Arabidopsis thaliana: one gene and its partners. The protein of the gene in region 2 interacts with the protein of the main gene of each other region in a biochemical or structural test. Each region holds a gene or a part of one and is shown on either strand. Other genes may lie near its edges. The genes, in order: TOC33, AKR2 and TOC64-III.

Evidence for each region.
Region 1: the proteins of AKR2 (region 2) and TOC33 form a complex in vitro, tested with the Arabidopsis thaliana proteins (one study listed by BioGRID).
Region 3: the proteins of AKR2 (region 2) and TOC64-III form a complex in vitro, tested with the Arabidopsis thaliana proteins (one study listed by BioGRID).

Annotation. Positions count from the first base shown.
Region 1 is NC_003070.9:448,819-452,568, forward strand, and holds the start of TOC33 (translocon at the outer envelope membrane of chloroplasts 33), read right to left. Parts: upstream 1,609-3,750; 5' UTR 1,543-1,608; intron 1,441-1,542; 5' UTR 1,429-1,440; coding exon 1,333-1,428; intron 1,229-1,332; coding exon 1,121-1,228; intron 1,021-1,120; coding exon 896-1,020; intron 672-895; coding exon 407-671; intron 306-406; coding exon 237-305; intron 156-236; coding exon 1-155. Other genes in the region: AT1G02290 (uncharacterized protein), read right to left, coding at 1,828-3,159. UniProt on the Arabidopsis thaliana protein: GTPase involved in protein precursor import into chloroplasts. Seems to recognize chloroplast-destined precursor proteins and regulate their presentation to the translocation channel through GTP hydrolysis. Binds GTP, GDP, XTP, but not ATP.
Region 2 is NC_003075.7:16,837,494-16,841,243, reverse strand, and holds the start of AKR2 (ankyrin repeat-containing protein 2), read right to left. Parts: upstream 1,713-3,750; 5' UTR 1,498-1,712; exon of another isoform or gene 1,400-1,497; 5' UTR 1,383-1,399; coding exon 1,346-1,382; intron 1,317-1,345; exon of another isoform or gene 1,250-1,316; coding exon 1,116-1,249; intron 1,035-1,115; coding exon 822-1,034; intron 728-821; coding exon 579-727; intron 513-578; coding exon 326-512; intron 197-325; coding exon 104-196; intron 1-103. Other genes in the region: CLC-E (chloride channel E), read left to right, coding at 1,899-2,586, 2,680-2,883, 2,965-3,428, 3,598-3,750. UniProt on the Arabidopsis thaliana protein: Exhibits chaperone activity toward chloroplast outer envelope membrane, mitochondrion outer membrane, endoplasmic reticulum membrane and peroxisomal proteins, by recruiting specific proteins containing a single transmembrane associated with an AKR2A-binding sequence (ABS) and subsequently binding glycolipids (e.g. monogalactosyldiacylglycerol (MGDG) and phosphatidylglycerol (PG)) present in the membrane of the target organelle.
Region 3 is NC_003074.8:6,145,906-6,149,655, reverse strand, and holds the start of TOC64-III (translocon at the outer membrane of chloroplasts 64-III), read right to left. Parts: upstream 1,751-3,750; 5' UTR 1,627-1,750; coding exon 1,424-1,626; intron 874-1,423; coding exon 721-873; intron 588-720; coding exon 463-587; intron 110-462; coding exon 1-109. Other genes in the region: AT3G17950 (uncharacterized protein), read right to left, coding at 2,487-3,053, 3,277-3,345. UniProt on the Arabidopsis thaliana protein: Chaperone receptor mediating Hsp90-dependent protein targeting to chloroplasts. Bi-functional preprotein receptor acting on both sides of the membrane. Not essential for an efficient import of pre-proteins into plastids.

The DNA of each region.
Region 1 (3,750 bases), on a different chromosome or scaffold from region 2:
CCTATGATAAGAGGGATGAGTTTCTTTCCTTTATCATCAGAGTAAGATCCATCTACCATCTTCTTGTCTACATGAATTGCTTTCCTCTGGTTTGTTGCTACATCAGTTATCGCCTTAACCAAGTTCGGGATCCACGCTTCACCATTTGGAAGAGCCTGAACCGAGAGCAGGTAAGCAACTTTTAACAGTCAGTCTCTCTCCAAGTCGGATCAAATCAGAGATTCGAAAACACAAACCTTTTCGTCCTTATCGTTCTTGCTGCATCTTCCGCTGTTCTCTGCATAGACTACCGCGATTGCAGAATCCTACAAGCCAGTAAAGAATGAAACTGATTCTTGCTACAATGAACCAAACATACATTGGTATAACAATTTTCGGAGACAGGTATATGTATAAATAACCATACCTCAAACTCTTGTTTTCGCATCTTAGAACCAGCCCGGATAGTTTTGAGGAGAGAATCTGATCTCTTGGAGGAAAAAGTTTCGTAGGAAAGTTCATCGGGAGGGGAAAATTGAGCATGAGTCAGAACAAGCAAGGTTTTGCACCATATCTCTTTTCCAAAGGTTTGGGTGATTGCTATAACAACTTGCTTATCTAGCTCATCGACTCTATACACATCCAAACGATCAACATAGAGCAAGACATCTATTGTTCTGTTCACAAGAAACCTGTCCAAAATCCGAGAAACACAACAACTATCGTAAAACTTCCACACACACTCCAATATACAGCTTCAGCGTAAACCAGATACTCATAATTCACAATTTCAACAGAAACCCACAAGTAAACATGTTAACCACATATATACTTAGCTTAATTAATTCAAAAACGAATGAGATAATCCTATATGCAACAATCAACGAAGAGATATTCCAAAAGAGTAGCTACTGACCCTTTGATTAACTCGAGAGCTTGGTGATTGACATATCCAGCTTCCACAAGTCCAGGGGTGTCAATAATGTTGATAGTGAACCCTCCCATTGTTCTTGAAACCATCACTGGTCTCAATCCTTCAGCCTACAAAATCAACAAAACAGAGCCATCAAATATCTTGAAATGACTACTCTTTCTTAATCCAAATTAAAAAAATCAAGCTTAGGGAAACTGAATTACGTACTTGGAAAGGACTGACACGGACGACTTGTTCGCCGATAAGAGAATTGACAGTGGATGATTTTCCGACACCGCCTTTACCCAGAACAAGAACTGTCATTGAGTTCATATCCTGCAATTACAAAAACCTCCCATCATTATCTCCTAATCACAACGGAGAATCCGAGAAACCGACTTAAGCACCAAAGAAACAGGAACAACAACAACAAAACACACCTTTTGCTTCAATTTTCCGAAGAATTCAATCAGCTTTTCCTGGGTAGCTGCTGGAAATTGCTGAAACCCAACCCATTCACGAACGAGAGACCCCATCACTCCTAAACCCTTCAGCAAAAAAATTCTTTTGGTAAATAATCGCTGAGTGATGACGATGATGATAATTAATTTCGAAAGCGATAACGTTTTGGGAGATTTGGAGGAGCTTACCGTTGTGTGAGGAGCGTTTGAGGTTTTTGGAAGAAGCTCTCTCGATGTGTTCCGCAGAGAAAAGCTAAAGAATGTGACCTTATCGGTAATTTGTTTAATAGTTCAAATTATTTTCACTTTTACTCCTCTATTTCTTTAGTGTTTCTTTTTAGTGCCTTCAAATTTTGAAAACTAACAAACTCAACCCCAAACCAAATCCAGTTACCAAGTTGCAGCATTACACTTCATATTTTCATGGAAGACTACATTAGGTGGAACATTGAATTAGCATAGCGTCACGGGAGCTCAAGCGATTCTCTGAACCTTTCTTCGCTTGTAAGTCAAGGAAAACAAATGGTCACTATTGGCTTCTCGAGCATGATTGTCTTCGCTCAGGACCCCCAGCGGTTTTCTCAGAGCCTTGGCTTCCCTCTGAAAGTTATTACTAGACGAAATCCTCTTGCTCTCTGTTGTTTCAGAGCCTCTGTCAACAGTCCTAGGCTTAAAACCAGGAGACTTCAGGTGGTACCGGACATATTCTTCTTGCTTTAGAGGTATATTCTGTTCTGTGATGGAGTAATTTGAAACACGGAGAGCACTGGGAACAGTGTGTGTTGGATCATGAAACACCGGTTCTGTACCTTGGATTGATCTTTGTGTAGTTTCCAAATAGGTTAAGAAAGGGTCTGGGATAGAACAGCCAAGAGTTCCGTAGGGTGGTTTCTCAAATGTCGTACCTAAGTATGGAGACGCTGCAAATCTAGTACTCTTTGAACCGGTTTCATGGATTTGCAGGAGATTGTTTCCTGGAGCTACATAGGGTTTCCTGAGGATGGCAGAAGAAGATTTAGGGACTAATTTGAGAACACCCTTTGGCAAAGTCTGATGATGATGGCCAGCAGAAACTAAGCTGGAACCTTGATACCGGAATACTCCTTCCTTGGTTATCTTTATCTTGAGACTGTTCTTGGAGCTGCCACTGCGAGGGAAGGTTAAACTTTTCGATCTATTTCTTTCCACGGGTTTCACTACATTGGGAGTTTTGAATCTACATGTAGCACTATCCATTTCCTTAGATGGAACTCTATTGAGGTCCAGTAGCTTGAGATTACCGGTTTGAGTTCGTCCTGACCAAATGAGGAGCCTTGAGTAATTGCCCAATTTATTTCCATACTGAACCCACACCCTTTGCATTTCGGTAAATGTCCTGATCAGCTTTTCATGATAGAACTTTAAAGAGTAGTAATACTTTCTCCTCTTGACAAACATAACACCTTCTTTGAAACAAGCTACCTTTGGAGTAAACAATCCACCTAGCAAATTCTTGTAAAACTTATCCTCTGGATTCCCAAAATATAAATTGGCACCATCAAGAAGTTCCTGCATCGTCAAACTGAAAGTCTGTGGATCCATATCTGGCAGAAAACATGAGAGGAAGAATCTTTCTTCTTCAGTCAGAAGTGAGTTCCAAGTCTCAACAGACAATATTCCCGTTAAATCTGGTAGATCGTAGAGCTCGTATGGTATGTTACAGAGCTGACCTTCAACCAAAGCTAGCTCACAGTTTACTTGCGCAATGTCGTAATCATCAGAGTCATCATCTTCAGAGTCTAGCCCAACTGTTTGATTCTTATTCATCTGTAGTTAACCACTTACTACCCTTAAAACACAAGTACTTCAAATCTCCAACCACAAACTCAGTAGAAAGGAACACAAGCAGGAGATACCTAGATAGAAAATGTTAAAGACTCATCATCAGCAATTCACATTACAAGAATTCTACTACAATACAATGGACAGCGAGAAGCTGAGTATGTTACTAATCAGAAATCAAACGAACATAAATAGCATTTTACTCACTGATTTCAGCAACAACAACACTAAAGGCTATATAAAACACGAAATATACATTGTGAGATCAATGAAGCACTCAAAAAGAAGAAGATACACAACACCAGAAAATCTCCCAGATCGGATCAGCTACAAAGCTTAAACGTAATCGATCGCGAACTCAATCAATAACCAAAATCAAAAGCTCCAACAAGGCAAATAACTAGAGAGCGAAAACCCTTGGATTTGACAACAAAAATGTGCAGACAATTTGAATAAAAAACAAGTATCATACAAATCTCAGCACAAATCAGCTCCAATGAGTTTCAAAAACCTACCGGAACTAATAAAAAAAAAGAATCTCGAGATATTCAGAGAAATCGATCGGAAAGCGTAAAA
Region 2 (3,750 bases):
ATTGAATGATTATAAAGATTCTTAACTTCACAGCTACTGAAAAAAAGAGAACCATCTAAATCCGAATATTTAATTGCCGTGAATTGATAAGAGAATTGCATACCTCGCCGTATCCACAAGCAAAATGCAATGCTGTCCTTCCTTCAGAATCTTCTTCATCTTTGTTACCACCAGATGCCAAGGCAGCTTTCAAACCCTAATGAATCAACGAATAAAAATCCAATAACGAGTTCAACAAAACAAAACTTGGAACATCTAATTCCTCAAGCAACACGCAAGATAAATCTCACATGGTCAAGCATATTAACGTAGGAAGCAGTCTAACCTCAACATCACCAAGACTGGCAGTTTGGTGAACAATAGACTCTTCTTCTTCACCTTCTTCTGCTACCTCAGGTTCAGCTGAAACAGTCTGGTCTGGTAAGCCAGCAACAGGCATACCCATTGCTTCACCCAGCTTTTTCAGCACTTCTGGATCATTCCAGTACCTAAAACAGAATAAATAATTCTTCCTTCATAAACAGAAACAAACTCTACAGTTTCTCTAAAAAACATTGAAAGAAGTTTGTATCACTCACTTCATCATGGCAGAAGGACCACCAGCATCAATCTCATCTAGTATAGGTTTCAACTCTGGATCTTCTTTCATCCGCGCCATACGCTCAGTAAAGTGTTCTGCTGTTTCAGGATTCGAGAAAGCATCCAAAAAAGGAGACATTTGTGGATCCTGTAGGCAAAAAAAATAAATAAAATCAGATAAGACACAGAGCTTCATTCAAAGCCACACCTCGATTAGATGGAAAAAGTCATCAATTCCTAACCTGAACTAAGGCGGTACCAAGTTTCTCGGCCATTGTCTTAAACTCAGGGTTATGCATAACCTGTTGCATTGTATTGACATACTGTTGAGGATCAAAGTTAGGGAAACCACCTTCCTGGCCAGCGTTAGGAATAGATCTCTGAAGCTGCTCAGCCAATTGGTTAAACGCAGGATCTTTAGCTATTTGCTCAGCCATTTCTCTGATGCTAGGATCCTACAAAAAAAACCATTATCAATTAAAAAAAAACTCAAAGAAGATAACTTTTCAATTGTGCTAACAGCAAAGGTAACTTACGTTGAGAATACTAGCCATATTAGAGAAATCAAAAGCATTGAAATTCAAGCCAGGCATAGCTGATGAAGTTGAACTCCCAGAAGCTGATTCCGGCTTAGAACTCTTATTCTCCTCCGTCGATTTGGGTTTCTCATCTACAGTAAACAAATTACAATGAACCAATAACCAAATCTGACTAGAAACGATTCATTATCGCAGATCAGATTGTATACTGAGAAGAAAATAATCACCTGAAAGAAGAGGATTTTTCTCCGAATTGGAAGCCATTAAGTATGACTAAAACCCTACAAAAAACACAATTTTGTTTTCAGGAAAAGGTGTAAACAAGAGATTCAACGAAAATAAGCGAAGAGGAAGACAAAGAAATCGAATCGACAACTACCTAAGAGAATTTAGTAAGAAAAGGAAGAAGAAGAAGAAATTAACCCGAAAAGACAATGTTGTGGTGGCAAACGCTCATGAAACTTGAAATACAGATAATCTTTCTTTTTTTTAATATGACGACAAGAGAAAAATTATTTATTTATCAGCTGGATTTTGGATTGAGAAGAAGATCAACTGCGAGGGACAACAGCCACTGCTTCTCCATTGAAGTTTGAACCTAAAGCTAAGAGGCCTTTTATTTTTAATCAAATTTATTGTTATTGGCCCATATAAACCTGTTTACCTCAAGGCCCAAGCCCATGCGTTTGAATAATAAGATCAGCCACGTAAGATTTGTGATTTAAGATCAAATTATCCGTTAATGGATAAACACGCGTCACTTCACGGAAGCAGCCGTTCATGGCAGCCACGCTTCCACTCTGTGCTGCCCTCCGATCTCCCGTCTCTTCCCGGAGATTCGCTCCAATTCACAAAACCGACGTTCCTTTTCAGTTCAATGTCGTCCTTTCACCGTTTTTCGGTTCCGTCGCTATTGGCGGTAGAATTTTCCCGCGTTTACCGGCGGCGAAGCAGGAGACTGATCAGGATGAGGTTGGATTTGATCAGCAGCCGTCTCAGGAGCTTGCGATAGCGTCGGCTTGTTTGGTTGGTGTTCTCACTGGAGTTAGTGTGGTTCTATTCAACAACTGTGTTCACTTGCTTCGAGACTTTTCCTGGGATGGGATTCCTGATCGTGGAGCTTCGTGGCTTAGAGAGGCACCGATCGGTTCCAATTGGTTGCGTGTTATCCTTGTTCCGACTATCGGCGGTTTGGTGGTGAGCATCCTCAATCAGCTTCGAGAATCTGCTGGAAAATCTACTGGAGATTCTCATTCTAGTCTCGATCGCGTAAAGGCAGTGTTGCGTCCTTTCCTTAAGACTGTTGCCGCATGTGTGACGCTTGGGACTGGAAATTCGCTGGGGCCGGAAGGTCCAAGTGTTGAAATTGGAGCGTCAATCGCTAAAGGTGTGAATTCTCTGTTCAATAAAAGTCCTCAGACTGGCTTCTCACTTCTTGCCGCTGGCTCAGCTGCTGGCATTTCCTCTGGTTTGTTCATCTGATATTTGCTAATGTTGTTCTCTCTTGCGTATGGAACTCTTGATTGATTCGTTAAGAGGACTTTGTTATATGTTGTTACAGGGTTCAATGCAGCTGTGGCTGGATGCTTCTTTGCAGTTGAATCCGTTTTGTGGCCTTCTTCATCAACTGATTCATCAACTTCACTTCCAAACACAACTTCTATGGTTATTCTTAGTGCTGTTACTGCTTCTGTGGTTTCCGAAATCGGTCTCGGCTCTGAACCTGCGTTTAAGGTTCCTGACTATGACTTCCGCTCTCCTGGAGGTAATATGCATTGCCATTCTTATGCTTTTTACGCAAGGGAACCAGAAACCAAACTTATGAGAGCTGGTCACTGATTTTCAGAACTTCCACTCTATCTTTTATTGGGCGCTCTGTGTGGCTTGGTCTCGTTGGCATTATCTCGATGTACATCATCCATGACATCTGCTGTTGACAGTCTTAACAAGGATGCTGGGATACCAAAGGCTGTATTTCCTGTAATGGGTGGATTAAGTGTTGGTATCATAGCTTTGGTATACCCTGAAGTATTATACTGGGGTTTTCAGAATGTGGATATTTTGTTGGAGAAACGTCCATTTGTGAAGGGTCTTTCAGCTGATCTTTTGCTTCAGCTGGTAGCGGTCAAGATAGCTGCAACCGCATGGTGTCGGGCTTCTGGACTTGTCGGTGGATACTATGCTCCTTCTCTCTTTATTGGCGGGGCAGCAGGAATGGCCTATGGAAAGTTTATTGGACTTGCTTTGGCTCAGAACCCTGATTTCAATCTCTCTATCTTGGAAGTGGCATCTCCACAAGCTTATGGTCTGGTACTGTTCTTATGTGGTCAATGTTTCAAAATTGTCTTAATTTCAGACTTTCTTGATTGGTTACCTATCAATACTTTGAACAGAATATTTTTTCGGGTTAACTGAGAATGGATGCTAGTTTTTTTGTAGCTTCATTGCCAATGATCCTGTTTGTCTCATTGTTTAACAGGTTGGAATGGCTGCTACACTTGCGGGGGTTTGTCAAGTTCCTCTTACAGCAGTACTACTGCTATTTGAACTTACACAGGATTATCGTATAGTGTTACCTCTACTGGGAGCTGTAGGCATGTCTTCATGGATTACATCTGGACAATCAAAGAGA
Region 3 (3,750 bases), on a different chromosome or scaffold from region 2:
GAAGATACTGGTATGATTCCGGTGTTTGAAATAGCCCCATAAGAAGATTTGAATCCAAGAACGCCACAGTATCCAGCAGGCACTCTTACCCCGCCAACTGTGTCGATGCCTGCAAAGATGCAAGTAATCAAAACTATACTCTGAAAACAATTGAAACCGAACCAACCAGTAGACAGTTGAAATTTTAGATACTGATAGGAGGAGCCAATGACAGACTACCATATAAATTATAAATCCGCATGGAACTATCTTACCATATAGCCATAAGAGTCTAAATCAAGCAATTCTATTAGATGCCAAATAAGTTTCTGCAATATAAATAAATTATCAATCGTTTCAGAAATTTTCTAAGGAAGATTATTGACCATGTTTTGAAAGTTTATGCAATGTTTTGTTTCTCAAAGATACGGTTATCTCATACCAAATTGTCCAAACAAGGAAAAAAGTAGCTACTGAACTCACCTAGAGCAAAATCCACAGCATTTGTTGCTACGGCTACAGCAGCTCCACTGCAAGCGCCACCAGGAATACGAGTAGGAGCTGCAGGATTTGTAGGTGAATCGTAATGCTTGTTTTCTCCACTAATACTGAAGAAAATGAAAACAGCCAAACAAAGGAATTAATATACTAACATCCTGATAAAATAAAAATTTCAACACTGGAATCACAATCTGAATCCTGATACAGGTAACAATTTAACATTATGAAACAGAGACAAACCTAAACGCAAACTCATCAACTACAGTTTTTCCAACACAAGTGGCTCCACCTTCAACGAGAGTTGAAACCACAGGAGATGTTGACGAAGCAGCTTCATGGGTCCTGACCCAGTCTGGATGACCAAATCCAGTCACATACCCTGTAATATCGAATCTGGAAAACAAATGAAAAGGAAAGAAAGAGTAAATTAGCTTTTCAAGAACTTCAAAAGTCAAAAGATCATAGAAGAGAATGAGAGATATACACAGATTAGATAAATAGTCAATCAACATGTTGAGACAGTTATAAGTAGGACTCCATGAATAAGTCGAGGTCAAACTTGGTGACGAATCTAAAACATACAAACACCTAGCAACAGAGATCAAACAGTAGAGCCTTCCAATGAACAGATTCAACAAGTATCGATTTGAAATGAGTTTGACAAAACTAGCAGACACACACACACACACACACACATTTGAATCTACAACAAACACAATTTTCAGTGAAACGGCTCAAAATCAATCAACCATACTTTCGAAAGCTCAGAATCAGACATGTAGTGCGCCGGAGAAGATTACGAGTCGAGTCAACGCAGATTCCAACATTTGTCAAACAAAATTTTGACTCTACCCAAGGAAAAAATCATTCAGCTAAACCCCCAAATATAGATATGATAAACATATGGGAGAAGAAAGGGGGAAACAAGTCAACGGAGACTCACACGTCGGAAACGGCAAAGGTTAGACCGGTGAGAGGATGAGGAGCTTTGGGAGGAGCAGGTTGCGGAGGGGGAAGAAGCATGAGTTTATCGATAAAAGCGCCGAAATCTTCACGGACGGTCTTCTTCAGCTTTTTGGTAAGCATAAGAATCCCAGCGAGACCTAAACCTAGAAGAACCCAGAGATTCGCAGCTTGAGACGCCATCGGTGACGTTTTTGTTCTAGCTGCTGCTGCTGCTGCTTAAGATAAGAGAGATAGACCCTAAGGAGAAGGACGCCAAAGAGTTTTTGTTTAGTGTGTTGCGTTCCCTTTGAGTTTTTATTCTTTTTCCTTCTTCCTTTTTTTAACATCACTCGAGGGTTTATTTTATTTTCGTTTTGTCAACAGTTTTTTATTCACGTTGTAAAACAAAAAATTAATTTTATTAATTGTTTCTTGTTTTTACAGTTTATTTTATTAATTCAATTGGTATAAAATATGGATACACATAACAAACATTTTGCCGTATTTTCGGTTTCTTGTGTGTGTCCACTTGTTCGATAATTTTGCTTCGTCGTTAGGAATCTTCTCCTCTTATGTTATGAGGATGATTTGTGGTTAATTGTTTTACTTTCAGAAATACTAGTGGAAAATTAACCACGAATGTGGCACACTCCTGGCCAGAATCATATTGTGTTTGCCTCAAAATCTGATTTGGTCAAATTATTGTCCAAAGACTGACTAGTATAAAGACGTATTGATGAAATAATTTGAAGCAAAAACTCAATATGATAGAACAACGTTTAGCATTTTAAATAAAAACTCTAATCAAGTGAACAACTCCATTTTACACCAAAAGCTGTGCATGTGTGCCATTCTATATGCTTATCTTTTACTATTGCCATTGTAATTAATCTCCTTCATAATTCTCCTTATCAATCATTATTATTTCTCAAATAATTACTTTGACAATGACTACATTCAACATGTTATATTTTCCACAAACAATGATTCCGATTCGACGAACAAAATACAAAAATTTAAGTCTAAATACAAATAAAAGACACACACATGAACCGACGTATTCATCCTCCACCACCGCTGCATATACCGGTTAAAGATACCGGAAATCTACAAAGGGACGTGGCTACCGGCGTTCCTTCTCCGGTAACCACTTCAGCTGAAGCCGGAGGAAGAACCCTTCCGTCAGCGAACAATGCCCGCTCCCCCATCACCGGCTGCTGATCTTGGTACCGTGCCACCACCGCATCCTCTAGCTCTGCCTCGGCGGAGTTGTAAACGGCTTCATCTCCAAACCTCCGTTCCACCTCTAGATACTCCCCGAGCGATGACCGCTTTGAATCTCCTGTTCCACGGTGGATTCCATTTCCGGCGGCGTCGTCATCGTCATCTCGGCAAAACCGCCACCATTTACGGCGGCGATGCGGCTCAGGCTCAGCCGAATTTGAAGGAGGACGCTTTCTCTGGTGGTTGCGTCTTGCATTGGAGCTAGAAGCTCGTGAGATTGCGACGGAAGGTGACACGTGGCGGCGTGAAGAGGCTCTAAATGGCATCGGCATAGTTGCAGTGAAACTAAATCCCATAAGCGTTCCAAGTGTGATGCTTCTGTCATGGAAGAACGATCCTGTTGACTAAATCCTCACATCACCAATAAAAAAACCAAATCAAGTTCTAACAAGTACATATATATGTTTCTGGGCAGTTCTGAAAACATAACCTTTGGAACTTTAAACTAGTTTTCTAATTAAAGGTTGATACTTTATAGCATAAAGCTTTATGGGTAGCTTAGAAAACACATGAAGAGCTTGATCTTTAATTAGATTATCTATTAAGTATAAGATTGCAGGAACTGACCTCAGTATCAAGATCGGAGGAAGAGACGGAGGAGATAGTTGGAGAAGATGGGACATGAGGATCTTGCATCTCTGTAATCGCTGGTTTCAAAGGGTTTGAAGATGTGGGAGATTGTGTCACTGAATTAAAACGAACGACGTCGGATTAGGGAGTTTCTTGATGAGAGGAAAAGGAAAGTGTTTTTGTGGATGGATAGGTGAAGAAGAAGAAAGTGACAAATGATTTGCTTTTTGAAATGATTGTGCTTCTTTAAGCTAAAGTCCTCTTGGCCATCTGTTACACTATTTCTTTCCATGTCTCAGAGAGCTTTGATATTTTTGATAAATTTGATTTAATTGTTTCTAGTTATGGGAATAATCAAAATCCTTTACAGAGACATTTTTTTTGTAAACTTTGGGTAAAAGCTGAGACATGTTGGATGGTAGCAAATTAAAATTTACGAAAAGAGGATAAATTACAACAAAGTAAGCTTTT